Linked DNA regions of Mus musculus. The protein of the gene in region 2 purifies or fractionates together with the protein of the main gene of each other region. This does not show direct contact. Links are inferred from orthologs where the notes say so. Each region holds a gene or a part of one and is shown on either strand. Other genes may lie near its edges.

The links.
Region 1: the proteins of Gsk3b (region 2) and Gskip purify together in Homo sapiens (affinity purification with mass spectrometry; 10 studies listed by BioGRID and IntAct, with this or other methods). This does not show direct contact. The link is inferred for Mus musculus from reciprocal best matches to the Homo sapiens genes GSK3B and GSKIP.
Region 3: the proteins of Gsk3b (region 2) and Ppp1cb purify together in Homo sapiens (affinity purification with mass spectrometry; 3 studies listed by BioGRID and IntAct, with this or other methods). This does not show direct contact. The link is inferred for Mus musculus from reciprocal best matches to the Homo sapiens genes GSK3B and PPP1CB.
Region 4: the proteins of Gsk3b (region 2) and Akap11 purify together in Homo sapiens (affinity purification with mass spectrometry; 4 studies listed by BioGRID and IntAct, with this or other methods). This does not show direct contact. The link is inferred for Mus musculus from reciprocal best matches to the Homo sapiens genes GSK3B and AKAP11.
Region 5: the proteins of Gsk3b (region 2) and Prkar1a purify together in Homo sapiens (affinity purification with mass spectrometry; 3 studies listed by BioGRID and IntAct, with this or other methods). This does not show direct contact. The link is inferred for Mus musculus from reciprocal best matches to the Homo sapiens genes GSK3B and PRKAR1A.
Region 6: the proteins of Gsk3b (region 2) and Prune1 purify together in Homo sapiens (affinity purification with mass spectrometry; 5 studies listed by BioGRID and IntAct, with this or other methods). This does not show direct contact. The link is inferred for Mus musculus from reciprocal best matches to the Homo sapiens genes GSK3B and PRUNE1.

Annotation. Positions count from the first base shown.
Region 1 is NC_000078.6:105,695,047-105,699,497, forward strand, and holds part of Gskip (GSK3B-interacting protein), read left to right. Parts: intron 1-3,671; coding exon 3,672-3,930; intron 3,931-4,451. UniProt on the Homo sapiens protein: A-kinase anchoring protein for GSK3B and PKA that regulates or facilitates their kinase activity towards their targets.
Region 2 is NC_000082.6:38,087,290-38,092,540, forward strand, and holds the start of Gsk3b (glycogen synthase kinase-3 beta), read left to right. Parts: upstream 1-1,711; 5' UTR 1,712-3,236; coding exon 3,237-3,324; intron 3,325-5,251. UniProt on the Homo sapiens protein: Constitutively active protein kinase that acts as a negative regulator in the hormonal control of glucose homeostasis, Wnt signaling and regulation of transcription factors and microtubules, by phosphorylating and inactivating glycogen synthase (GYS1 or GYS2), EIF2B, CTNNB1/beta-catenin, APC, AXIN1, DPYSL2/CRMP2, JUN, NFATC1/NFATC, MAPT/TAU and MACF1.
Region 3 is NC_000071.6:32,482,646-32,487,096, forward strand, and holds part of Ppp1cb (serine/threonine-protein phosphatase PP1-beta catalytic subunit), read left to right. Parts: intron 1-714; coding exon 715-819; intron 820-2,613; coding exon 2,614-2,685; intron 2,686-3,235; coding exon 3,236-3,387; intron 3,388-4,451. UniProt on the Homo sapiens protein: Protein phosphatase that associates with over 200 regulatory proteins to form highly specific holoenzymes which dephosphorylate hundreds of biological targets.
Region 4 is NC_000080.6:78,505,513-78,509,963, reverse strand, and holds part of Akap11 (A-kinase anchor protein 11), read left to right. Parts: coding exon 1-84; intron 85-2,083; coding exon 2,084-2,239; intron 2,240-4,451. UniProt on the Homo sapiens protein: Binds to type II regulatory subunits of protein kinase A and anchors/targets them.
Region 5 is NC_000077.6:109,649,486-109,654,426, reverse strand, and holds the start of Prkar1a (cAMP-dependent protein kinase type I-alpha regulatory subunit), read right to left. Parts: upstream 3,479-4,941; 5' UTR 3,354-3,478; intron 3,086-3,353; exon of another isoform or gene 2,984-3,085; intron 672-2,983; exon of another isoform or gene 649-671; 5' UTR 643-648; coding exon 466-642; intron 460-465; exon of another isoform or gene 83-459; intron 52-82; exon of another isoform or gene 1-51. UniProt on the Homo sapiens protein: Regulatory subunit of the cAMP-dependent protein kinases involved in cAMP signaling in cells.
Region 6 is NC_000069.6:95,278,796-95,283,710, forward strand, and holds the start of Prune1 (exopolyphosphatase PRUNE1), read right to left. Parts: upstream 3,282-4,915; 5' UTR 2,829-3,281; coding exon 2,790-2,828; intron 1-2,789. UniProt on the Homo sapiens protein: Phosphodiesterase (PDE) that has higher activity toward cAMP than cGMP, as substrate. Plays a role in cell proliferation, migration and differentiation, and acts as a negative regulator of NME1. Plays a role in the regulation of neurogenesis.

The DNA.
Region 1 (4,451 bases), on a different chromosome or scaffold from region 2:
TCTCTTTCCCCCTGCCTTTCTACAATAAAGCTCTAAAACCATAGAGAGTCTCTGCTCATCAAGATCCACTGTGCTCACTCTTGCTGGTGTTGGGAACCTCTTCCCTCATCCCTCTCTCCCATAACCCTGGTGGCTTTAGCAAAGTAGCTCCGGGGTTCCGAGGTAGGGCTGCCCCTTGGCCACCCCCTGAAGAGTGGGTCAGAGGCTTGAATGCCCACCCAGGGCTGAGTGGAAAGTGTATGGCAGCTCTCTCACGCCTGACAGACCAGAGAATAGGTAAAATTCTGGCGGAATGTGGGTCTTCCCCCTCCTCCTCTTCCCAAGGGCCCCTTTTTTGTTCCCAACATTTGTGGTCGTTTGTTACTGAGGCACTAGGAAGCTAATAGCAGCCACATAGTGATAATCCTACAAAATGTTTTTGGCAACTACTTTCTTCATGACACACATAAAAATACTCATGGGGCTGGAGAGATGGCTCAGTGGTTAAGAGCACTGATTGCTCTTCTGAAGATCCTGAGTTCAAATCCCAGCAACCACATGATGGCTCACAACCATCCATAATGGGATCTGACGCTCTCTTCTGGTGTGTCTGAAGACAGCTACAGTGTACTTAGATATAATAATAAATACATCTTTGGGCCAGAGCCAGCAGGGCTGGAATGAGTAGGGCCGACCAGAGCAATTGGGGCCAGAGTGAGTAGAGGTCCTGAATTCAATTCCCAGCAACCATATGATAGCTTACAACCACCTGTACAGCTGCAGTGTACTCACGCATAAAATAAATAAATACATCTTAAAAAATTAAATAAAATAAAAATGTTCATGATCATCAGGGTTCCATAGTTTACATCTCCTTACCTCGGTAAAGCTGCTAGAGAGCTGGAGCGGCTACTGTGTTTGACTTTGAGTGGACTGCCACCAACTTAGTGAGTGCTTTCTGTGGCCAGCGATGTCAGGAGACTGAAATGAAAGGTTGGGGCTGTGTCACATGATGCGTCACGTGATGCAGACTGCCATGCATCGCTGGGGCAGGAAGGTGGGAGGCCCCTTAGTGTTGGAGAGAGGATAGCTAGGGCTCAGTGGGCAGTGGGGCACTTGTTAGTCCTGTAACTCTTTGTGCTCTTGGCTTTTGTTGATTTTTATTTTGTTGAGAGAGGCACGGCAGAGAACATTGTTGACATCTCCACTGGTTTCAGTCATTTTTGTTGACTTGTATCAATTCAGCGGAGTCGTGGCAGCTTTTGCTGTATTGCCCCGCAGTGGCTGATTTGTGTTTGGTGACGCTTTGAACTGGACTCTTGCTATCCTGACAAACGGAGATCGGAATCTCCCCAAAGAACCATATCTAAGCAGGTCCATAACCCCTTGTCCAGTTTTACCATCTTTTTCTCCCCTATCTTTGGACAGCAGGCTAGAAAGGGTGATGAAGTATTTGAGAACCTTACTAAAGTAGGCTTTAAAAAACTAAAGCCATTGGGCATTGTGGCACACGCCTTTAATCCCAGCACTTGGGAGGCAGAGGCAGGCAGATTTCTGAGATCCAGGCCAGCCTGGTCTACAGAGTGAGTTCCAGGACAGCCAGGGCTACAAGGGCTGCAGAGAAACCCTGTCTAGAAAAAAAAACAAAAAACAAACAAACAAACAAAAAAAACCCTAAAGCCTACAGGGACTTTTTCGGCTCTAATAACTGAGGCACAGAGGTGGAGATTGGCTGGGTACCCTGCTATCCTCTCTGGCTCCTGCTGCTGTCTTTTCCCCTTGTCAGCATTATCGTTGGCCTCCTGTCCTCATCCCAAGATGGCTGCCAAAAGTGTGCTGTGACTGGACTAAAAAGACCATGAAAAAGTCCATTGTATGAGAACTGGAGTCAGTCTCTGCCACATCACCTGCTGACTCCACTCAGTAGGGAAGAGGCATCCGATTCCCCTCAGAAAATGTGGGCGTAACTGGACAAGGGAAAGACGTGGGAAGCAAGCAAGTCTGATATGGGCAGGACAGAACAATGCTTAAGAGCACTTCCCTGGGCTGGAGAGATGGCTCAGAGGTTAAGAGCACTGGCTGCTCTTCCAGAGATCCTGAGTTCAATTCCCAACAACCACATGGCGGCTCACAACCATCTGTAATGAGATCTGATGCCTTCTTCTGGTGTGTCTGAAGACATTACAGTGTACCCATATACTTAAATAAAATCTTTAAAAAAAAAAAAAAGCACTTCCCTATTCTCACAGAGCAGCAAGGGTCAGCTCCCAGCACCCACACGGTCACATGACCACCAAGCTCAAGTGGTCATACCACCACTCAAGCTCCAGGGGGGCCAATGCCACCTTCTGGCCTCCATAGGCCCCTGGGTACGCTTGTGCATGTGTGTACACACACGTACAGACACACATCTACACATAACTAAAATAAATCATTATCAAAAGCTTTAAATCTTCCACATCGTTCTCAAAGGGATGCATGAAGTTCCCTAGGTATCATCTTTTTGGAGCTGATGGTTACCCAGTAACCATCTGGTGTCGGACTCTGCCAGCCTGTAAGGCCGTCTTCCTGCCAGTGCTGGACGCCTGCTGACAGCTTTATGAACATCTTTTTCATGTAATGGTTATTCTGATGTCTGTAACTGTTCTTTATTACCAAGGTAAAGACATGACACACTTGGTGCTTAGGAGCTAAAACCTTCCAGACTTTTCTTTTTTTAATCAGTTCAGGGCCAAGTCAGTGAAAGCACTTATTCCTAACCACTGGACCAATGGATCAAGCTGAGTTTATAGACTATAGTAAACAGTCACTTCTATAAAACCAAGCGTATCCCTAAACAGTGTATTAGTTGAGCAGGGGAGACATGTTTAAATGATTGTGTTGCATACAATCATAGTAGAAGGTGCATCATTGGCTTTGTGCGTTTGCCATTCCTTCACACGAAGGCTTTTGACTCCCAAGTTATCTTAGTTTCAGCTTCATGGAAGGGGATTTTGAGACCATTGCTCTAACACTTTCATTCTGAGTTTCACACCCAGCCACTCTGCATTTCAGTCCCTAGTCAGCTCTTCATTCTCCTATTACAGGGCTTCACGCCGCCAGCACTCTTTTACATAGAAAATTCTAGATTTGCACAGTGATACAGAAATTAGAATTAGATTTTAGGTGCATAACATCATCCATTTTCTTAGATATAGGTGTGACTTATATTTCTTAAATATTGGTGTGATTTCAAACAAACTGGGTTCTTTTCCACTTCTGTGTGAACTTGACAGATAAAAATATTCTGTAAGCCTCAAAAAAAGGTATTTACTCAAGGAAATACATGCTAAGACAATGAGCTTTTGTTCTTTGCCTCACAGACTGACAAAAGTTTAAAAAGGTCTGGAAAGCTTGTGTTGATGCCCACAGTGCTTCTCTTTGGAGGAATGTGCACTTTGGAGCTTTGGCTTAGGAATGCAATGGAGTGCGCTCAGTGGGGCTCACTGGGCATCCTAGTAGGAGCATGGGGACAGGTGCTGAGAGTGAGTTGGACTGTGAGGTCCCAGCTTGAGAGCTTTCAGAGGAGATGTGTACGTGGCCTAAAGACCGCGCTCGCTCGGGATACTTTGCTGGAGAACGTTGCTGCTTTCTGCCCTTGTCCAGTTGCAATGTTTTTCCATTAAAAAAAATCTGTTACTCCTTTCTTGCAGAATGGAAACAGACTATAATCCCGTGGAGCTAAGCAGTATGTCTGGATTTGAAGAAGGCTCCGAGCTCAATGGGTTTGAAGGAGCGGATATGAAGGACATGCAGCTGGAGGCCGAGGCAGTTGTAAACGATGTACTCTTTGCTGTCAACCACATGTTTGTCTCAAAAAGCATGCCCTGTGCAGATGATGTGGCTTACATCAATGTGGAGACAAAGGAAAGGAACAGATACTGCCTGGAGCTCACAGAAGCAGGGCTCAGGGTAACTCACTTTTATTTTTAGAAGAAAAAAAAAAAGCATATCTTTATCATTTTATCAGAAAGGATAAAGAGGAACATTACATACAAATCAGAGATGGGTATCTTCAAAAAAAAAAAGAAAGAAAGAAAAGAAATATTTTCCCCAAAATTTTGGTTAATAAATTTTTTATCAACACAGAATTTGAGGGTGTAAATACATTTCGAAACAGTTGATTCAGTCTGCTGTAATCGTTACCACCCTTCTTTCATTCCTGTAGCTAATTTTGTCTCCCAGAGTGGGCTCTCTGCAGGGGGTGCCCTTGTAGTTGCTGTGCTGAAAGAGCTCTGCTCACCTTCCACCTTCCATCCAAGCTAGATGCTTAGACTGGGCTGTGTACCAGGAGCGTGTTGTACAGGCCAGAACCCACATAAAAGAGGAAAGCGAATACTTTACAGACTTAGCATCTGACTTCCATAGATGTGTCGTGTGTGTGTGTGTGTGTGTGTGTGTGTGTGTGTGTGTGTGTGTGTGTGCGCGCGTGT
Region 2 (5,251 bases):
TGCACCACAGCAGTTTAGGAACAGTGGCAAAGGTCTTTCATAATAGCATGGAGAGGCACCATTCAAATGACAAAGTTGCCAAGCAAGGCGGCTGCTTTTAAGATTCTTTACCCTCCCCCATGGCATCGGGCTACCTTATAGACGATTTTAATTGTGAAGAACAAGAGTCTCTTCTGCACTTGAGGCATAAAGTCTCCGATAAGGAATGAGATTACAAATTGGCTGCCTGTCGGGCACATTTTCCTGGGATTTTTTACTTTGTTGGTCTACGTGGTTTCGGCATATCGGTTGCCAACACGTCAGATTTAGAGATCACACATAAAACTTCAACGTTATGGTTTTGGTAATTAAAAAAAAAAAAAAAGGAGAATACGATTATTTTAATGGTGGACCCCCTTAAGGGCATGGATGGAACTCCCGTTTCCACATCATCTAACATTCCTATTGTCTTCCACCAGGCCGGTGTCATTCGCTTTATTTGCCAGGCCTCTACAGACATCTGAGTCTGCAAACACTATCCAGACCTTTACTGGCTCCCTTCAAAGCTTACTTTGTTCTGTCCCAAGTCCCTCATCAGATTTTAAAGCAATAGCTAAGCAATCTGATCAAGTACGTGTACTTTTACATGTGCTTTCTGGAGATAGCATCTCAACAGAAAGAGATGACTATGCGGGTGGGTATTACAAGTATCACGGGATTACAGTCAGGATTGCCAGTGTCCACTCTAACTTACTCTAGTCGTAGTAGCCACGCCACACAGCTCTCGGATGGACCAAGGCAATGGTCTCCTTTGTAGAACAATGGACGCTGGACTACATGTGAAACCTACTTAGGCAGCAGTGTGCTGATCATCCAATAACACTAAAAACTGCTGCGAGCAATTCTGACTTGAGCTTCCTCCTAGGATTCGAGGTACTGTCCTGACCACATTTCCCCTCACCTGTTTTCGGGGCTGCTTTTGCGCTGGACAGTCGCGCCCATGGACCGCGCTCATCTAGCATGAGCTCATCTCTCGGGGGCGTTTCCAGAAGGCCTGGTCTGGCCTTGTGCGCCTGCTGCAAAGGGCTCCCCCCCCCCCCCCCACGAGATCAGCGGCCCCCCGCGATGGGCGGGCGCGGCTGCCCAGAGGCTCTCCTTCTCTGGAAGCTTTGTTCCCATTTAAGCGCTAGAGGGTTCGGCCCCGGCCACGGCGCCCTACGTCTTTCAGAGAATAGACGTTCTCATAGGCTCAGCACGCGCGGTGGGGAGCCTCGGGCGCACTTGGTAAGCCGCGCCCCGCGGAGCTCCCGGGAATGGGGACGGCCTCACGCCCCACTAGAGCGCTCGGGGCCCGACCCTCCGACCGCAGCATTGTCGGACCGGGCTGCACAGCCAGCACGAGCGTCGGCTCGGAAAGCAGATGCAGGCCGACCACTCATCCCGTCCGCCCGCTTAGGGACCACCCGAGGCCAATCCCACTGCAGCTAGGTCTTGCGATTGCACAGCAGTGAGCGCCTATTGGCCGCCGCCACGGGCTCCTGCACCCTCCTTCTCCCTTTCGAAGCTCCCCTCCCCCCGCGCTCCAGCTCGACGCTGCAGACCAATGAGATGGCACTTTATAGGTGCCCTCCCTCCGCTTTCTTCTTCTCCCCGCCTCAAAGAGGGAGGGGAGGCTCTGACTGGCCCGATGTCCTCGGAAGCCCCCTTCCCTTCACCAATCACCGAGAAAGGTACACGCCCAGCGGAGTTGTCCAGCCAATGAGGAAACGGGCGCGGCGCCCAGCCGTGCAGTTCCTCCCGCGACTCGGGAGTTTCGCCGTCCTTAACTCTTGAGGCTTTTCCCTGAGGGCCAACAGCTCTGATTGGCCACTGTCGCTATTGTCGACTCTTCTCTCTAGCCAGCCACAGGACAAGGAGAACCCTCTTCCCTTCTGTTCGGCTACCTTCGGCATTCCTCGTTGCTGGGGCGTGGTCTCCCAGCGGCGTCTCCTCATTGGTTATCCAGGTCGCTCGGCTTTTTCCGGCAGGAGCTGCAAGCAAGCGACGTCTCTGATTGGTTCCGGCTTGGGTTTCGGCTCTACAGCCGAAGCTGGCGGGCGCGGGCTCGGCGAGCGATTCCCAGACGCCTGTAACGCGGGCGGCGGGGCGCTGGGCGGTGTAAGGGCTGGGTGGGGGAGGAAGGAGGCGGAGGACGAGTAGGAAGGGGGAGGGGGAGTGGGGAAGGGCTAGGCGGCTGCGCAGACGGCGCGCCTCGCACAGAGCAGCCCCCGACCCGGCCGAATGCGGGCTTGTGTCGCCGCCGTCGCCGCCGCCTGGGCCGAGTGACAAAGGAAGGAAGGCAGCAAGGAGGAGCCGGCCTTGCAGCCGCTGACAGGGCTTCGGGCTCCGGGCACAGCGCGGACACTTCCCGAGCAGCCGCTGAGCAAAGGCGAGGGGCGGAGGCCGGCCGTGCCGGGGCCACGGACGGGGGAGGGGACCCCGAGGGACGGAAGCGGTTGCCTGGTTCCCATGTCCCCGGCGTATGGGGAGCAGTCAGGGAGCCGCTGCCTGGGGTCTGAAGGGAGCTGCCTCCGCCGCCGCTGCCGCCATGGCCGCTGGATCCAGCCACCGCCTGCAGCTGCTCCTGGCGCAATGAGGAGAGGAGCCGCCGCCACCGCCCGCCGCTGACTCGCGACTGCGCTGCCCTCCGGTTCACCCGGCCGCCGCCGCCGTCAGACCGCCGGATCCCGCTGCTGCCGGAGCCGCAGCGTTTGCCGTCGCATCTCCGAGCCATCTCCTCCCTCCTTCCCATCCCCCTTCTCTTCAAGCGTGAGGCTCGTGATCCTTCCGCCGCTTCCCTTCTTCATTGACTCGGAAAAAAATCCCCGAGGAAAAATATAATACTCAGAGTACTTATTTTCAATCAAGTATTTGCCCTCGTTCACGTGATATATATATATTTTTAAGGATTCCACTCCACCCTTTTTCTCCTCTTCCAGGAAAGGGAGGTGAAAGAATTGTATTTTTCTCCCAGCTCTAAATCATCTATGTGTTAAATATCCGTACCGATCTGTCTTGAAGAAATACATAGCTCCTTTTTTTTTTCCTTCTTCTTAAATAGCTATACAAAAGGAGTGAAAAGCCAAGAGAACGAAGTCTTTCTTTCTCTTTCTTGCGGGAGAACTTAATGCTGCATTTATCATTAACCTAGCACCCTAACATAAAACAAAAGGAAGAAAAGGATTAAGGAAGGAAAAGGTGATTCAAGAAGAGCCATCATGTCGGGGCGACCGAGAACCACCTCCTTTGCGGAGAGCTGCAAGCCAGTGCAGCAGCCTTCAGCTTTTGGTAGCATGAAAGTTAGCAGTGAGTATCGATTTTATTTTACACCCTTCCTCCACCTTACCATTTAGATAAGAAACCTCGAAATACCAGGATCTTACACTAACAGACCTGATAGAACAGTCAGTGGTCGTGGAAAAGGGCAAAACCAGCCTTGAGTCAAGAAGAGGCAGGCTCCTTTTCCTCCTCCCATTCCCGTACCCCCTCCCCCCGCCTCATTAACCTTGGATTGAGAGAATATTAGTTTTATTTGCCTGATTGGATTTGAAACTTCTTTTCTTACGTTCTCCGTGCTGCTGGTAGTCTTTTCAAGTGCTCCAGTGCCTCCGGGTTAAGCGATGGAAGAAGCGTTCGCTTGCCCATCCCTTTGAATAAAGAAGAGGAGGACAAGGCTTGATTAATAAACCATGATGTACATTTGCCGAGTCCTTGTCTTCTGGAATGAGGGAGTTTATCTTAGTTAGCTCAGGTTATCAGGGTTCTGTATTCAAAATAGAGATATTAAATGCCCCAGCCTCCTAATATTTCCTATTTGCCCGTGTGACTACACAAAGTATTTTTGAATCTGGGGATGAACTTGCTTGGTAACCCACATTGCCGTTGGAGGCAAGCTAGCATCCATCCCTCACTCGTCTAGGGGTGGTGGAAGCTGATAAATATCCCGCAGCAGTCGCATCTCTAAGTGCATTGTTTTCAAGTGGTTTAATGTGTTATCTCTTAACCTTCCTGTTTTGACATTACCAATCTGCCACCATATAATTTGTTTAATCAAAAGGTAACTTGGAAGGAGATTCAACTTTTGATTGAGGTTGTATTGTCATTTTGCCACAAACTAAGTTAAGTGTTGTCACTGACTCCTCATTTAAGTTTAATTTTGAGGTGGCATTGCATTTATTACTTGTTATTATTATTATTATTATTTTTAAGAGTACAAGAGGATACCCTTTTAGGATAATTTAAAATGTGTCAGTATCTGTCAGTCTTTCCCGGGGAATCTGTGCTGAAAAAAAAGAGTCTTGTGTTCTTGAAGTGTTTGGTATACTGAGTATCCAGTGTTCAAATGTATCTATTTGTGGAGATGTTTATGTGGTATTTCATGACAGCTTATTAGAACATAGTTGCAGATTCTGGCCAAAATATCCATGTTGTTTTCCTTATTCGATGAGAAAGAAGAGGGAGGACACAGATAAAACTGTTTTGTTGCTGAGAGGAGCTGATGTAACTGAAGAACTAAGATTTTTAAAAAGTCAAAATGCATGTGCTGTTATATGCAATTGATTAAGCAATTGGACCTGTTTCCTTTTAGCTGCAGTCCTGTAGGCTTTTGGAACTTGTCTGAAACAGAGAAGCCCAAAGTTATATCCAAAGCGATGGCTGAGTGGGAGAGATTTTTGCAAGTTCACTTTTTTCTTTTCCTTCAGTGACTAGCAAATTTAGAACGCAGGGCATGTTAAGAGGGAAGCTGATTTCGCATCTTTTAGGGAAGGGTCATGCTTTCTAAGCACTTTACGGAGTCATTTGAATGGAATCTAAAAAAATGCTAGGGTAATTATCAGTTATGATGAAGTAGACTTCATGGTAACTACTGAAGAACCTTTCATGGTACTTAAGTATTTGTGTGTTGTATGCTTTGGCTAGTTAAAAAAAAAAACCTGCTCAGTCCATTTTAGACCATTTATTTATTAGGTTTATTTCAGAGATCTGTAATGCTAGAATAAATACCAAAATTGGGGACTTTTCATATTGTTTCCAGGATTTTCTTTGAAAACAACTTATTCTTGATAGAGGTTCTTTAGGATGGAGGAGCTGTGAGAGGACTACAGCTTAAAGTGTTTTAATTTTAAACATTAAAAAAATTAGAGTTTAATGTTAATTATTACTATTTTTAAAAAAATAACCTTGACATTAAGGGCACGTAGATGAAAGAGGCATTTGTTAGGTGCTGGTATTC
Region 3 (4,451 bases), on a different chromosome or scaffold from region 2:
TACTATAGTGATTTTTATAAGATAAAGTTGTTTGATGAATGTGTTTCATAGAACAGTACAGTCTTTGAAGTTTCTGCAACTCTACAGAAGGTATTGAATGTTTTATTCCCCTTTTAGAACTATCTAAGAAAAAAAAAATACATGTGGTGATAAACCTGAATGCTGGACAAGTACTCAGATATGAGCTACATCTCCAGTGCATGAAACTGAACATAGCTTATTCACTTACAGAAAAAGGGGCTAAGTAATTGTCTTAGTCAGGGTCTCTATTCCTGCACAAACATCATGACCAAGAAGCAAGTTGGGGAGGAAAGGGTTTATTCGGCTTACACTTCCATACTGCTGCTCATCACCAAAGGAAGTCAGATCTGGAACTCAAGCAGGGCAGGAAGCAGGAGCTGATGCAGAGGCCATGGAGGGATGTTCTTTACTGGCTTGCCTCCCCTGGTTTGCTCAGCCTGCTCTCTTATAGAACCCAAGACTGCCAGCCCAGAGATGGTCCCACCCACAAGGGGCCTTTCCCCCTTGATCACTAATTGAGAAAATGCCTTACAGTTGGATCTCATGGAGGCATTTCCTCAACTGAAGCTCCTTTCTCTGTGATAACTCCAGCTGTGTCAAGTTGACACAAAATTAGCCAGTACAGTAATCAAGCACAGAGGGAAAAAAAACAGTTATTGATTCTTTAATTCTCTGTGTTTTCCCTTTTTATAGGTAAACGAAGATTTAATATTAAATTGTGGAAGACATTCACTGATTGTTTTAACTGTCTGCCTATAGCTGCTATTGTTGATGAGAAAATCTTCTGTTGTCATGGAGGTAGAGTAATACATTTGCTGTTTAGAAGAGAACTGTAATAATGACAGTACTGTGGGAAAGCTGAGTGTGGCAGGAGGTGTAGAGCAACTAGAAGCCAGCTTGATTCCAGGCCAGGCAGGCTTAGGAACACCCCGTCTCAAAATAGGAAATTCTTCACTGGGCCTTACAGAGAATGCCTCCTATACAAGTGTTAACAGAAGAGTGGTCCACACACACTGGAATCCCAGGACTCAGAGGCTGAGGCAGAAGGATCTCAAGGCCATCCTGGGCCATAGATTCTACCTCAGAAAGAAAAGAGAAGGGAAAGAGAAAAGGTAATTAGATGTGTGTGGAGTATTTTTACTTTGCCTCAATTTATGCTTGACCAGCTGGTCAGATGATTTCCTGTGGTGCTGGGATCTAGCTCATACCTCAGATTTTAATAAAAGGTACTTGGCCATCATTAAGAATGAGAGGCTAATTATTTTTCTGTCTGTATTAACTACCTTTTATCAAACTCTAAACATAATTCATACAGCTTTCCAAGTTTTGTGCACTACGCCAACATGTTAGGAAATGAGGACATTAGAATATAGAGATTAGAATTTAGATCAAAAACAGTTTTCAGCTCTCCAGCTTTAGCACCCAGCTTTACCTTGGTGTGTTTCTCATTTATGCTCTGAGGATCATAAATTGCCATGACTAATGACTTTCTAAAGAGCTTCAAATGTGTAGTAGTCATGAACAATTTAGTCTTCTAAAGATGAAAGTTTTGTAAGTTTACACACATGAGAACTCCCTGAAGAATATGCAGTAAACTTTTCTATGATAGTACGTGTACACACACACACACACACACACACACACACAAAAAGTTTTTCAAAAGTTAGGGAAGATTATGGTAAGGGCTTGCTTTGAAAGTCCTGTGACCTAAATTCAATCCTTAATCAGGGATCTTGAGGCCAATGAGGTTTCTTCCTTAGAACAAGGTAGAAGCAAGTACACATTTACTCTCAGCACCCAGGAGGCAGGTAGGTATAGTTCTGAGTTCAAGGCCATCCTGGCCTATGTACCAAGGATCATGCCAGCCAGGGCTTTATAGTGAGAATCAGTCTCACCACACACACGCATACATGAGCACACATTTACACACACTATGGAACAATTTAATGATATACAGGAAAAATGGTTTCTTGGTATCATACATGGTAGTGTCTTTTGGGAAGCATAGAGGTGGAAATGCTGAAAGATGGTGGCGAGGCCTGAGACGTGAGTGGTTTATTCTGACAGCACAGTTCACTCTATTAGTTGAAATGTTGTTTTCCATAGATACTGACCATTAAAGGCATTGGCAGAGTTGAGGTGGGAATATGGCAGTGTGGAATATGTGTATTTAGCTTCATTTCTTGTGGTACTTGAATTACCTACCAGAGAAATAATACCTTATGTTCTACTTTACAGATATATTCTTGTGCTTTTTTTTATCCTTCTGATTATTAGTTTAATGCACATTTTTGCAGATAATGAGACTGTTGAGGTGGGATATGGGGAAAGGTTCCTAGGGGACCAAGAGAGGCGTATAACTTGCAAGTAAAAATGCTTTATGGGGATCTGGTGGTCATGAAGGTACAGAAGCAGTAGGAAGGTTGCAACTAAGTGTGTTCTCAGGAAGGGGGAGGGCAACTGCAAAAAAGTAGTAGAGTTTCTCCTTGGAATCTCTCGAAGAATAATGATTTATTTCCTTGGTAGAAAGATAGAAAAGATAGCATGAGTATAATTCTGCTAGATAGCAAGTCTCTTTCTTTCTATATATAGGACTGTCACCAGACCTACAATCTATGGAACAGATTCGGAGAATTATGAGACCCACTGACGTACCTGATACAGGTTAGTATATACAGAAGTTCAGTTCATTGCTTTACATAAGATGTTGACGTGCTTGGACCTAATTATATTTAGTGAAAGTCACTTAGAAACCTAGTTTCATCCCTGAAAACAGTTAACAAAGTGATCAGAGCAAGAAAAGGAGCCGCCCTGCCAGTCTTAATTAAAGTCATTAATGTGTTCATGTCTTCGTGATAAATCAGTAAAGTATTGCAATATAGGCTGGTGCTCAGTAGTAGTGTAATGCAAGGAGTGGATAAGCTGTGTACAGGAAATGCTAGCCAGAAAGGAAATAAAGGCCTCCACGTATTACATATACTTGAGTATGCCACACACATATTTCCTGTATGCAGAAGTCAACAGAAAGTACTACCCTAGGAAGCTAGAGAAAGTTGTACTTTAACAAAGACTGGTTTAGACTGGAGTGCCTAGGGACAAGGGATGATCATTGAAGTTTAAGAAGGCAGGAGAGATGTGCTGTAAATGTGTGCTGTATTCTGTGCTTGCTTCTATTTCACTGTTGGTTTGTTTGTTTTTTTTCTGTTTTCTAAAGGTTTGCTTTGTGACTTACTGTGGTCCGACCCAGATAAGGATGTGCAAGGCTGGGGAGAAAATGACCGTGGTGTTTCTTTTACTTTTGGAGCTGATGTAGTCAGTAAATTTCTGAATCGTCATGATTTAGACTTGATTTGTCGAGCTCATCAGGTATACAGTATACGATATTTTATTGTTAATTTCACACATTTTCATTTATTGGTAGGTAGGTAGATAATTTACCCTGATGTCTTTTAGTTTCTGTGACACTTGACCAAGGCAGCTTATAAAAGAAAGAATTTAATTTTGAGCTCACAGATTCTGTGACCATTGTGGCATGGAAAGGGGTGGCAGGCAGGTAGGCATGGCTCTGGAGCAGTAGCTGACAATGTCCATCTTGAGGCAACTGCCATGGGGCAGAGAGCGAGAACTAAGAATGGCTTCGGCTTTTGAAGTCTCAAAAATCCCACCCTAATACTTCCTAACAGTTCCACCTTCTGAGGACCAAACATTCAAATATATGAACTGATAACCTAGGGAAGGTAGTGGGGGAAGGGGGTTAGAGAGTTGGCTCAGTGATTTAATAGCGCTGGCTTTTCTTCTAGAGGACCCAGGTTTGATTCTCAGCATATTATGTGTCAGCTCAAAACTGTCTGAAACTCCAGTCCCAGGAGACCAGACACCTCTAGCCTCCAATAGCACCAGGCATGCAAGCCATGCAGACACACTTGTAGCAAAACACCCATACACATAAAATAATTAACTACAAACTTAAAAGGTAATATGACTTATATGTGAAGAACATAGATGAGGAGGCAAGACTCTAGATCTCGCAAGTCAGTACCAGGCAGTGTTAGCTTAGGCATCTCACTCTGAGTGATTATGTTTCAAAAGAGAACATTCTGTAGTACAGTGAGCTAACTGCAGCCCCACAGTGCTTTGCTGGTTTCCAGGTGGTCTGTTCTCTTTGTGGCCTCTGTGTGATATGGTAATAATCTGATACTACCCAAATGTGTCAGTATTGTTTCTTACAAAAATGAACTGTGATATGAGAATTTTTCTGAGACAGTTGTGGAATGCAATTATAAACTGGTTAATAAATATTTTAGCTTAAAAAAAAAGTCATTATTGATAGTGTAAAAGAGTGTCCACTGTTCAAAGTGTTCATGATCCGTAAACCATAATTGGTTTATAATATATTGGCTGAAAATATTTTTTACCTCTTATTTTAATTT
Region 4 (4,451 bases), on a different chromosome or scaffold from region 2:
ACAAGATGGCATTAGCTTTGCTGAGAGCCTTACTACAGAAATCATGACAACAGCTGTGACAAATGCTGGGCATGCTGTTAGCAGGTACGTTTCAAATTTTTTGTCAAGTCTTGTAATAGAATGAAGAGTTAACTTTGCCCTGTATGTTTTAGGTTCTGTTCATAAAAACTCTACTTATTTTCATCCTAACTTAACAGAGGTCTTCTCTGTTGCATTTGTATGTAGCTTCATGTCCTGTGCTTGGTTTTCATATGAAATTTTTGTTTCCCGGTTCCTTTTGTGAGTAATTATTCATTTACAGGGCTGGAAGATGAGAGAAAACACAATAACATCAACTAAGAAGCAGGTAATCAGAATAAAGGAAATGGGTGAATTTTATTCAAGAGTTTAGACTGGTATATTTACTACTCTGAGATTAATATCTGTTTCTATGGTCGAGACAGTTTTCTACACATGGCTTGGACAGTTTTTATTCTTCCTCTTCTATCATAGCAGCTTCAGAAGAGGAAACTAGATGGTGATTCCTAAGCCCTCACTCCCAGGACTCGGCCAATAACTCTGCTATTCATTCTTCAGATTATTCATCTTCTTCTTAGACCTGGCCAGTAATGTACCCCGCAGTCTTCCTTAAGCTTGTTTTAATCCAGACTGGAATTTGTAGGCTCTCTCTTTGTACTTCTGTTCCCAGGCTTCTGTGAGAACTGCAGAGTCCACTCAGTTGTATATAATTCTGCCTCACATTTTATAAAGTTAAAATGATTTACAATTGAAGAATGATTGATTCAAATAGATTATTCACTAAGATGTTAACTAAATTGTTTCACTAATGTTTCTTTTCTCATAACTGTTTGATTAATGGTAGAATATATAATAGGACGTTACAAACCCATAACGATCAGCTGGGAGCCATATGAATTTCAAATAGGAAAGCATATGACAGTGGAATTTTAGAATAATAATAGATCTAGACTTTATTTTCAATTAGCATGAGTCCAGTTACCTAGCAGTCATTACAAACCCTCTTTTACCCTCCTCCTGTGAATCATTTTCTTAAAAATGTGGTAGGTAACAGGAAAAAGTGTTAAATAAAATAAAGTTGTGGTGGAAGATACCTGTGTTTGGAATGCCAAGCCTAACTGAGTTGTCAGATCTTTTTAAATGCAAAGTGAGAGGTGCTTTAAAAATGGGAAGGGCAGTTCAAGGCTTAATTTAGGTGTTAGGGATATAAAAGAAATTGAAACAGGCAAAAAAACCAAACAAAAAAACAAACAAACAAAAAAACAACCCCAAACCAAACCAAACCAAAAACCACATTGTTCTGCAAGAGCTGGGGGTCCTGTGTTCTGGGCACTGCTGTAGAGTGACTCAACTTGGAGGATGGCAGTGAGGGACCAGCTTATACATATATGATGTTTGGAAGTCAATGGAAAGTTTTGATCAGAAAACTGATACCTTTTCTCTTCCTGCTTAAGCATCACTCTTTAGAACTGTGTTGACGATATACAGATGGAGCAATTAGTTTAGTTTCTCTAAGACAGGGTCTTACTATGTAGCCTTGGCTAGCTTAGAATTATGTAGATCAGACTGGTTTTGAATCACAGAGATACCTCCCAAATGCTGGAACATCAGTTTCTGCTAAGAAATATGTTTATGATTCATATTATGAAGAGATTTCTTTAGTTTGAATATAGGCTTGGTTGACACAGCTAGAATTTCAAACTGCATTTCTAATACTAAAAGCCAGAAGGAGGCTCTTTTAGATTCAAATGAAGGTAGTATTTTTATAGGTCAGATGATTTGCTTAGAACTTCTAGTGAGGCGTACTTCTGCTCAGTGTCCTGTTGAACGTGGAAAGTGCTTTCAACTGAATGTAGATGCACAAGGGTATTGTCTAGGTAGCAGATGCGGTCCTTGCTGTGCTGATGTTCAGTCTTCATTATGTGCAGATGCAGCGACATGTTCAGGGGTGTTAGTGTCACCGGGGATATAATTCCTTAGTGTCAGCTTTATCATCTTCTTTCTTTGTCACAATTTGTGATGCTTCAATTGTTTTTTAAATTATTACCATGTGATCGTTTCCTAGTTCAAGAGAAATAGAAGATTTTCAGTCAACTGAGTCACTTGGCAGCCAGCAGATGAATCTCAGTGTTGGTGAAGACAGCACAGGTAGCTGGTCCAACTTAAGTTTTGAGGATGACCATCAAGATGAAAGCAGCAGTTTCCATCATCTCAGTGAAAGGTAACTCTGACTGTATAGTTAAGTGTGTGAGAAAGGTCTCTAGACTTAAGAAAAGTGAGCAGTGGGTTTGTGTTATTTAAAAATTCTCAATTTGGAAATCTGTCTATACATCCAACATTTTATTATTCACAATGTGGCTCTTTTGTAGTTTTTACTTTAATTGTTCTTAAGGGTATGGCTTTCTTCTGGTGTGGCCCAGTCTGGTCTTGAAGTTAAGTTTTTCTCTTAACTTTCCAGGGTCTGGATTATAGGCTTGTGGATTATATTGCCATCCCTGGCTTCTCAATGGCTTTGACACATATTAAATGCAGTGAGGGAACAGAGCAAATATCTTCGGATATACTGACAGCTGACCTGAAAAAAAGTATTGCAATATTGAATTTTATTTCCATGTTAAGTTTTCATCTATGTTGTGGGAGTATAATTTATCACTTTAAAGAGCATACCTTCATTAGAAAGCTATTCATGAGGACAGTTAGGTGTCTGTAAATGGCATTACTATAACCCTGCAGTTTCCTGATACAAGCTATAATAAATAGTGTTTCTAGGGACAGGACTTCTGCTAGGAACAAAATATTTTATGTCGCTTCTTGGATTGAAAATGCAAACATTGCATAGTCTTAGATTTTTTAAAACCTACTTTAATAAGGGTTACTAAATACTTTAACCTCCCTTCTAGCCCACCACTCACCTGAGGTAGTGGAAATGAAAGGTTAATAGGGCACAGGGGAATGTGGACCTATTTAGAAATAGTTCTTTGGGGTAATTCCAGTCTTCATTGTCAGGACATCAGTGGTTGAATTGATGTGAGTCAGCAATAGTACTCCATCCACTCACAAACATCATTCACTAACCAGCAACGGCAGTTCAGTCCAAAGTGGTAAGCCACCCAGAATATCACCACAAGTTCTTCGATGCATTTCTCTCTATGAGGTCATGACAAATGATGATCAGCTAAGGAGGCAAGACAAACAAGTGCCACAGTGCTGTCAGCCAAGACCAGCATCTGCAAAGCCCAACAAAGCCCAGCAAAGAGTGGCAAGGTAAACCAATGCCACAGTGTAGTCCACTGTCTGCTGGGTTATACTTATACCCTTTCCAAACATCACATGTTCTCTTTCCAGGCAGCTTCCAGAAAAACACCATGTGTCTGTTCTCAGCAAAACATCCTCTCATAACACAGTTTTCAGAAAAACGTCACATGACACAACTGAGTCTCCAAAGAAACCAGAAATTTCACTTTACATGAATCTGTAAAAAAAAGTTTTATATACTTGAAGACATTTACTTTACATGCAAATTTTCTAGTTAACTTTGTTCACAATAGCCTCCTTTGAAATATTTCATTATGATATAGATTCTTATATTCTCACCTCTACCTAAAGGCATTCATGGGTTGCTTATGAACTCCCGTGAAGTATTTGTCCATATTAACTGACAATTGAAATAGAAGTAACAGCAATAGTTAGACCTCAGGGAGGGAGAAGTTCTCAGCATACCTCTACCAGGAGGTATATGTGGAAAGAACCGTGTGCAGTCCCTGCTGACATCGACCCTGGAAATGTTCTTGCTGGGAGAGGGAAGGAAGACAGTGTGACGTTGGAGGAGAGGCTGGGGTGGCATAAGGAGAGGAGGTGTGGCCTCTGGCCTAGGAGAGCGAGGCGTCCTAGCCTAAGGCTGGGAGGGTTTCTTTTCTACTTGGTTACACATTTTCTTTTCTTTTTTTTCCTTTTCTTCCTTCCTTCTTTCTTTCTTTCTTTCTTTCTTACTTTCTCTCTCTCTCTCTCTCTCTCTCTTTCTTTCTTTCTTTCTTTCTTTCTTTCTTTCTTATACTGTGTTTGTTATGTTATGGGAAAAATCAGTATTTTTTTACAATTTGGATGCCAAAAAATAGTCTTTAAAATGGAAACAGTAGAGCAAGGTCAAAAATCATGATTTTCCCTGGAACACTGTAATAACACTTAAGTTTTTTTTTCTTCTTTAAGGAAAACAAGCTTCCAAGACTTCAGCAAGAGTGACATTAAACTGGGAGAAGCCAGTGGTCTTAAGAGGGTTTGTAGAAAGCTCAGTAACTAGAGAGGGTTAACTGAGTTGTTGCAAGGGGCAAGTCTTTCCTGGGCTCTAGTCTTCATTCTGCCTGCAGTGTTTAGTTTATTAATATGGATAACTTAGAAACCAGGCTGAAGTGACAGCCTCGTAACAGTAACAAAAC
Region 5 (4,941 bases), on a different chromosome or scaffold from region 2:
GTGTTAAACTAGACACACACCTATTTCTATAGTGTTAAACTAGACACACACCTATTTCTATAGTGTTAAACTAGACACACACCTATATCTATAGTGTTAAAGGTGGAATAAACTAATAGCTCGCCTGCTTGGTAAAGGAAAGCATGAACTGCCTTTAACTAACTCTCAACTCACTGTCACACTACTTTTGATTGATTCTGTTAGTCTATTTTCTGTATTATTTCAAATAGCTAAAAACAACAACCATCAGGAAACCTGTTTTAGCCACACAAGCAGCATCAATTTGGTTTCTGGCAACTTCTAATTAAAATTACTAAAAAATCCTTCACTGCATGATAATCTGAATTTCTGCTTGACTTACTTGGCCAGAACCCCTCTTGCCCGAAGTCACACATCAGTTGACATTCAGAAGCTCTAAGCACAGCAACTGTCATGGTCATCAAATCGCTCCCTCATGAATTTTACCTTCTCCAACCTCTCAAAGTATTCCCGAAGGAATGCCATGGGCCTCTCGGGCCGCGTAGTGCACAGCTGCACGATGGAGTCCTTCAGCAGGGCCTGGATATTGTGCTTCTGCACATAGAGCTCGCATTCCCGGAGACTCCGCTCTTCCTCACTGGTTGCCATACTGCCAGACGCCATGGTTCTCTGGGAGACAAAGAACACACATGCTGGGTAAGCTAGAAAGCACAGATGCAGATCTGGCCTGGGACTTACTTAAATTCACGAGACAGCAGATTCAAACATTTCTTTACTCAACAGCATTTGTGTTTAAAGAGGAGGTGGGGGTTGGATATAAACTATCCCAAGTTTCTACTGTCTCCGCTGGGCAGGTCACGCAGAGAAGACCCATAGCTCCTGGGAGGAAGTATGAGCCAGCGTGCCTGCCCTGCTGAGCAACTGAGGCAGTGCTGAGGCCCCAAGCCCTCTGGAGATTTCATTCAGTTCTCTTGCAAAAGACATGACGATGATGACGTGGGAAGTATGTAAGTGGGAAGCAGGTCAGAGAATTACAAGGGCACACAGGTCGGCTCTAAGTGAAAGCACAGCTCACAAAGAACACCTGACATTCCCCTGAGTGCACCTCCCATCCCATGAGCGCAGCTAATGTCACAGCAAACCACAAGGGCAAAGAAGCTGATTAGCCAAATATTAGTGGAATCGAATTTTCTGAAACACAAAAGCAGCCTCGGGTGCCTTTCCTCAGCAATCTTTCATTCCCTTCTTTGACTAACTCTGCCCGTGACTTAGAAATACAATTACCAGCAGAAAGAGTTGAAAAGGCTGTACTAGAGGAAAATAATCTCTACCAAGCAAACTAAGATTTTCTTCATCTAGACAGGAATATATTAAAACATGCTAGTTTACAGCTTACAGGATGACTCAATAGCTAAAACTGAATTTGAGCAACATTAATATGAAATAGAAACACAATAATGGGCAGCCAAGCTGCCTCAGGACTAAAAGCTCAGTACTTTATGCAGCTATTCAGTTTTCCTCCTAACTCCTAATTACTAAGCACTTGAGATTAGAAGATGACGCCCTCTCCACTCTGCATACCAATTCCACATAACCACTCTTCAAATTATAATGCTCACAGACCCTCTAAGGTTAACCTGTGAGTTAAAAGATAAGGATAAGGAGCCATTTTAAAGTGCTGCACTAATGTTTTGTTTTGACAGTTTTCAAGATAAAGGTCAATAATATGCACGCAACAGACCAGGACAAAGTTTGTAGCTCCATGACAAGCACAGAAAGAAATTAGAAGCCACAGACAGACAGACAGACACACACACACACCACCGTCAGTTCAGAAGAAACACTGAAGGGAAGGTTTCTACTGTCAGATATCGTTTGTTCTTGTTGTGCTTCCAGGTCAGAGCACGGAACGAGACAAAGAATCCACTTCATTGGAACTTTCTCCATTTCAAATACTGAAGGCCACCAGGAACGTGGATAAAAACAAATCTATTATGCTTCGAAGCATCCAGCCATATTTCAAGAATGTCAGCACATATATTTAACTGATCAGAGAAATCCCTCTTAGATCCTGTCTCTGGCTGGGAAGGATGGCGCAACTAGGGCTGATAAGTGAAAAATGGTGTATGCATTACAAAGACCAAAAGGCAGGCACTGGTAAAGAAAATACAAACACCAGTCATCATGTGAAACGCCAAATAATCTAATTTTATGGCCTTAGGATTTTTAATCGGGTATGTCTTGGTTCCACGTTTGTATTTACTTTTTAAAAACCCCACAACTTAGCTTCTCTCCAAAACAAACACTAAAACCATCATCACTGCATCGAGTATTCGTAAGAAGGGGGATTCTTGAGGAAATTCGGTTCTGATGACACTCTTGCTTTCAGAAGGACTATACTGGAGGACATATTTAAACCGCCTTTGGGAGCCTGTTGCTGACAGGGCCCACATCTAAAGGATGCCAAGTAACACTAACACAGCCTGGGGGGTGGGGTGGGGGTCATCATCTAAATGCGAGCCTTCATTTCTCTGCTCAAGAAACCTATCTATCCTGGCTCCCTCAAGTCATCGGCTGTCCCCACACCCGCTCTGGGCTGGAGTTAAGGGTTAACGGGCGCCGCGTATTTTCACGAGGGAGGGCAGGAAAGTGCCCTTCACTTCACTTAGGCCACGGTCATGATCACTGAGAGCAGCAAGACGGCCCCTCATCCCCCACCAGGCAGGAGGCCGCAGACGTGGAGTGGAGCGGAGCGGGAGGCCTGGGGAGGCTGGGGTGGGCGGTGGTGGGGGCTGGAAAGGACGAGAAGTGTTAGGGGGACAAAGGGAAATGGAGCTAGGCTGAAATCACCGAGCGGAGGGGTGGAGGGAGACGAGCCCGCGAAGAGGAGGGGGGAAGCCAGGGCAGAAGAAACGACTGGGCAGAGATGAAGACTACAGCCGAGTGGCGAGGCTAAGACCGAAAAGCCATGGCGGATTCCGGTTTAAAAAAAAAAAAAAAATACCGAGCTCTTGTCCTTCAGGAAGTGGGGGAGGGAGGACGGGCGCCGAGGCCGCGGCGCGCGGGGGCGGAGGCGGCCGGGGAGCCGAGGGCAGCGCAGGACCGGGGACCCGGAGACACTCAGGACGGGGGCGGAACGGCGGGGGGCAGGGGCGGCCTACGGCCCCGCGGGGAACGGTGCAAGGGCGGACCCCGGGGGACAGTGCGAGGCCTGCGACAGGCCCCGAGGCCGCCTCGGAGGCGCAGGGGGTGCGGCCGTCCCCCCGCAGCGCGCTCCCCGGGGCGCCATCTTGGCTCGCTCCCGCGCCTTCAGGGACGCGCAGCGGAGCGCCGCGGCCGGCGACTCCCCGGTCAGGCCTCGGGCCCGCACTCACCTGAGGGCGGGCGGCGGCACGAGCAGGGGCTAACGCAGGGCGAGGCGGCCGGGGTGACCGAGCGTCCAGCGGGCTCAGCTCGCAGCCTCACTACCACTCTGCGATAGCGGCTCGGCGACGGCTCCACCGGAAACCAGCCGACCGCGGCCAATCAGCGTTCGGCTGCTGACGTCAATGCGCCTCGCTCTGGCCAGGGCGGTTGCCTTGGCAACCTTAAAGGCGCAGACGCCTAGGATCCTCCTCCAACCCCATCCCCACCCCCCTCAAGCCCACCACCGGCTACTCCCACCCCCTACCCTTAGCCCGTCGTCATCTAGCTAGAACCGTTCTCTTGCAGGGCACCTCTCCATCTTTATCTTGTCGCGTATACGTAGCCCCTTCATCGCTCTCATCTTTTTCCTTCTCTTTCTGCTAACCCGTTTCTGTCTCCTTTATTGTCCCTTCCTTACCAGGTGTGGTGGGGGGTCCTCTAGATTGTTTAGCTGTTCGGAGATCTCAGCCTCTCCTCGGTTCCTCGGTGGCTCTTGCGTCTGCCTCCCTCCACGCCTCTGTCTTTTCTCCCTCCCTTCGACCCTCCTACCGCAGACCCACGTGGGACGATTCGGTGACAGGTGGGCGACTCCGCCCTGGGTGCTATGGGACGGCAGGGAGGGGGATGGGGTTACAGGACGCTGGGCGGACAAGGAGATCCCTGCTGTTGGAAGAGGAGGAGGCCCTAGCGGATCTACCACAGCTGAGCGCAAGCGGATGCTGAGATGCTCCTGATGGACAGAGCGCGCATCCTGTGTAGACCCCCGCAATACCCGGGGTTCCGGACTCGGGCCTGTCATCCGGTCCAGGAAATCTGAGCCCCTATCAAGCCTCTGCTTGGCTAATCTGACTACTGTCTCCACAAGTGAGCTGTCATCAATGGAGGCCCTACCGTGCCTACAGAAGCACCAGATGTAGGGAGACTTCCAAGAGGAGCCCGGAGTCCTGATAATGCCCTAGCCTCCTATTATGCCAGACTGCGTCATGGGCAGTACAGACAGATGGGCAGATCAAATCATTGACCAAGCAAGAAATCTGAGCTGCATGAGAAAACAAGAGAAAAGGCGACTTCATTATTCCTTCAGTCAACTTTCCCCTTAAGTATGTGAAAATGAAAGCAAGGGACACAATTTTAGGCATATGAATTAAATAAATAAAGTGGGCCTAAATAAATACATAAATAAAATAGGCCCCTGCAGTGTGTGGTTCTGAGTAGCTGCAAGGTGTTGACAGCCTCATCGTGTATGTGCTAGGGCAATGTGCGTAGAAAATATCACGGATTTAACACTTAGTACCAAAAAAGGTTACAATATCTCCTGCATAATTTTCACAGTGATCCCCAGTTAAGATATTTGGGTTAAGTGGTGTTTGTAAATTTCACCTTTTTAAGCCTGACTTTGTCTTGGAATACCCAGACTATGATAAGGGCTCTGAACATTAGTTATGATTACCCCCCCTAGTAGTCAGAGGAAGGAAGGGGGAAGAGAAGGAAGCCGCTCCCTCTGCAGCCTCTCACCAGGATGTTGATCAATGGCTTCTTTTCCAGAGATGGGTAGAG
Region 6 (4,915 bases), on a different chromosome or scaffold from region 2:
TTTTAAGATTTTGGAAAAAAAAAAACTTTAAAAAAATTTTAAATCATTTGTGTATGTATAAGTACAGGTGCCTTCAGAGATTAGAGATCCCACATTCCCCTGGAACTGAAATTATGGGGTTTGTGAGCAATCCAGTGCTAGAAACAGAATTTGTTCCATTGCAAGAGCAGTAGGCCTTTTAATGGGTGAGCCGTCTTTTTAGCCCCTAAATAATATGTGTGTGTGCGTGTGTGTGTGTGTGTGTGTGTGTGTGTGAAGATGATAAACCCATTGTTTTGTGAAGATAGAGTGGAAGAGGCAGACAGGATGAGATGGGTCAGCAGGAATGGGCATTTGTTACCAAACATAATAACCTATCTTTGATTGCTGGGAGGACGGGCTGGGAGGACGGGCTGGGAGGACGGGCTGGGAGGACGGGACCATGGCAAAAGTCTCCTCTGACCTACACATGTGTCTACTGCATGGGTGCGGCTCCCAACACGCCACTAAATAAATAAGTTTAACAATTTGTTCAGAGTTAGAGAAATGTCTCAGTGCTTATAACTCAGACTGATCTTAGAAAGTACTTAGCACCCACATCTGGTGACTCACAACCACATGCAACTCCAGGTCCAGGGAATCCAATGTTCTCTTCTGCAGCCTATGGGCACTGCACTTAAATGGGCAGATACCTACACACATATAAAACAAAAACAAAAAAAACTATTTTCAAGGGCTTCTGATTCCAGTACTTGGAAGGCAGAGGCAGGTGGATCTCTGAATTTGAGACTAGTTTGATCTACATAGTTCCAAGCCAGCCACGGCTACTACATAGTGAGTCCCTGTCTCATATAAATAAAATAAAAAAATAGCCAAGCTGGGCACCACAGGTGACTCTTATAATCCCAACACCAGGAAGCAGAAGCAGGACTATAAATTCAAGCTCGACCTCAACTACATCGGGACTTCAAGGCCAGCCTGGGCTTATAAAAGGCCATTGCAAAAACAAACGCAATAAAAAGTAAACAAAATATGCAGACCTCAGGCAAAGTGTGAAAGCACACTTTAACCAGCATCAGGTGGGTGGAGTCAGGAGCCGGCCCACAAGAAAAGAAGTAACAAAATTGCCTTTGTATTAAAACAACTTCCCCCAAATAAGGTGGTTCTTTTTCCTCAGGGGGGTTATGAAGAGAGGGTCTCACCAAGGCACCCAGGTCCGTATGCACCCCAGGCTGCACTTTAGCTAATAAGCCTTTTGCCTCAACCAACCCAGAGCTGATTACAGATTAGCAGGTCCATGCCTGGCCTGATATTCTTCAAAAGGAAATTTTTAGTGTAGCTGGCATCAAGTTGAACCTCACCCTAAATTCAAATTAAGAATATTCGTCCGGGGCCTAGCAAACACAGAAGTGGATGCTCACAGTCAGCTATTGGATGGGTCACACGGCCCCCAATGGAGGAGCTAGAGAAATTACCCAAGGAGCTAAAGGGAACTGCAACCCTATAGGTGGAACAACAATATGAACTAACCAGTACCCGGGAGCTCTTGTCTTTAGCTGCATATGTATCAAAAGATGGCCTAGTCGGCCATCACTGCAAAGAGAGGCCCATTGGACTTGCAAACTTTATATTCCCCTGTACGGCGAACGCCAGGGCCAAAAAGAGGGAGTGGTGGGTAGGGGATTGGGGGGGTGGGTATGGGGGACCTTTGGGATAGCATTGAAAATGTAATACCTAATTAAAAAAAAAAAAAGAATATTCGTTTATCCACGAAGCTGGATCTCCAGCAGAATTAGGGGACTTTCAGGGTTTGTTAAAGAATAGAGTCTATTGCCCAGAGGATTGTTTTGTTCTGTTTCTGTCGTTGTGGGTTTTTTGTTTTTTGGGTTTTTTTTCTCCCAGTCCAGACCTGGCCTGAACTGAAGTCTCAGCCTCCTCTGAGTTGGAACTAGAGGCCTGTGGCTACCATACCGAGCTAAGTTATTTGAAAGGAAGATGCCTATCTGTTTCTTCAGGGGCAGAGAAACTTACAGCAGGGGGCCAGGTGACTTGGAGCCTTTAAAGGGAAGAGCGACCTAATGCCACACAGCCTGTCAACACAGCTGGGCGAGTCCAGCTGGTTCAGGAAGCACCAAAAATAAGCTACAAAGAATTCAGGGCCGTGCTTATGGTTTAGATTCCAAACACACTTTGTGTTTATCCCTTACCAAGGAGGCGGTATTTTTACGTGTGTGTGTGTGTGTGTGTGTGTGTGTGTGTGTGTGTGTATGCGCACGCGCCTGCATTAACACTAAAGGAGAACACTGGAAGCAAAGGAATGTAAGTTGTGGGTCAACATATATGCCTGATGAATTATTCTGTATATTTGGCATAAAAACAAAGATTTAAAGTAAAACACCACGACCGCCTCTACCTAGGAGGGAAAAAAAAAAAAGGCAAACCGCCATTCAGAGGCAATAAAGCGGTGCACCCAGTGCCCTCCACTCCCAGAGGTTCACCTGGACCCAGTGGGCTGAAGCCCGCTTGCGGGAGGGAAACTGAGAGGGGCGGGGAGAAGGGAGAGACACACCTCGCCGGGCGAGGCTGGCGGCCGCCGCACAGGTTCTGCCGAAGGACCCGACTCAAGCAAACCAAGAGACTCCTTTCTCCGGGCTCTCCCGCCTATGGCCGAAGGGCTTGGTCCTCTAGCTCCCCCGCGTCCATCTCTGTGATCCCTCCACACCGACCGTCCGGGCTCCCCAGATCCCACACCTTCGTCCTTCCCAGACCCCACGCTGCATTCCTTTCGGTCACGGACTGGGACCCGTTACCTGCAAAGCGGCTCGACAGTCCTGCAGGTAGTCCTCCATGGTAAAGCCCGAGGTGTGCCGTTGCCCCTCAGCCAGGAGAGGTAACCCGGCAGAATGTACCCCGCCCTAGACCTAGGGTCTAGAGCCGAGAGTCAGGGGGCGGGACTCGAACCCGCCACTAAAGGGTTCGGCCTCCGAACCCCAGGAGGAAGTGCGTAATCCGGCACTCCGGGAGTCCGGCGTTGCCCCGCCCCCCAGCGGCAGAGGCTGGGTTCTGAGCCCAAAGACTCATGGGACGTCAAGGAGGAGTATGGTATATCGCGGTGCCTCCTGGGAAATGTAGTCCAGCAGCTCGTGTTTGTCCTCAAGTGAGCAGTTTTCGGAGGGCTATGACATGCAAATTGTGTATGTGTCACAATAACTCGCCTTTATGGCATCTGAACTTGCAGATAGGACTAAGTATAGTACCTTTCCATATATTACACCGAAAATCTGTTCGAGATTGATGTAAATTAATCTCTCAATTTTTTTTAAAATACAAATTCTTTCTATCTAGCCCAACCTGTCTGGAATTTGTAATCTTTCTCCTCAGTTTCCTGAATACTGGATTCACAGGCCTGGTTTGGTTAGGACTTTAAATTACAACATTGCTGTACATATTATTTATTAAAATAGCTTCCCTGGTTAGGTGTTTTTTCTTTCTTTTTTTTAAATTCTCCCCTTTACCAAACTGACAAATCGTGATCAATGTGTTTGTTCACGATAGGAAAACATTACCATAATGTTTGACTTGTTTTCTTAAAACCTACTGTCGTGCCAACTCTTCCTCCTTCTTCATAGCCTTTCTTCTACAGCCTGAGCAAATACTCCTCATTCATGGGCTGTTGCAACCGTGACTTTGCTTCCTGGGTCTCTGTTGCAACAGTTCTCTCGGCTTTCCGAGTTGCTTGAAGCCTTATCCTTTGGCCGTCACATCAATAGAGTTTAGAGGAGCCTTCAGAACCTAAGGCTGGGTTCCAACATCCCTTAACTGCCACTTGCGTGTCCCAGGGCAGACTACTTGGGGGGAAAATGTCCCTTCATCATAACATGTTCCCTCATTTTTTAATCTATCCCCAGATCGTCCTGCTTCTCGGGGAGGTGAGAAGAGGCAGAAGAGCGTCTTCCTCGCCCCCGACCAGGTACACAGCTGAACCAGTTTCATTCCTAGCCTTTCAAAAAAAGCATACGGGGAAGAAGGGAAGCCTTGGGAAAGAGCTCAGGGGCTCCAGAAAACCAGGAGTGGGAATTTTCTTTCTTATTGAACGAGTACATATGCAAACACAACGCCCTTCCGCCCTGCTTTCTTGGCTCCAGAGCAGAGGGCTGCGGCGGGCATCCAGGGAGGTCTAATCAACAGCCGCTGTCCCGCCCTGCTCCTCCGGGCTCTGCCAGGCCGCTTGCTTTTCCCGGTTCTCACCAGAGAGGCACACGCGCTCCGTCCCTTCCAGCGGCAGGCGGAGGGAAGAGAAAGGGTCTGTTGTTTTTCTCTCTTCCTTTCTGCGGCTCACCGGGCTGCTGACCGGCTCAGACAGCCCTGATGGAAATCCTCGGTAGCTGAGCAGGCCCCTCCTCCTCCTCCTCCTCTAGGGACCGCGTCCTTGGCTAATTTGTCTTTGTCCGGACAGGGGGAAAAGAGGGACAGAGAGAAGAAAAAGAAAAACCACAAACTTCCTTTGAAAGCCAGTTTGTAGGCACGGCCTGGAGCGCACGCCGGAGGCTCGGTGACTCGGGAATCCTGAAGACTCTGGGAAGCCAGGCGGGACCGCCTGCGCTGTGCCTTGCTTGTCCTCGGCCCCGACCCTGCTCCAGCGTCCCCCGTATTGGGCGTGTGTCCGGAAGTGGCAGCGACCCAGGCTGGACGCCGCGAGAGTAAACCCGTGTCAAGCCGTGTAAGCTCTGGGGCTGACAGCTGGGAGGCGGCTGGCGCAGTCGGCGCCCCTCAACGATGTCCCCACCTCCCGCGTAGAACCGCCAGAGTTGAGTCCTCTCCCAGTGCCGGAACCTCATCTACCTCTTTGAGGTAAAAACTTTTGTTTTCAAACTATCTTCACCTCGTCTCGCAGCTCTCCCTACCCTCTCTGGGCGAAGTTGACACCTGATGTCCC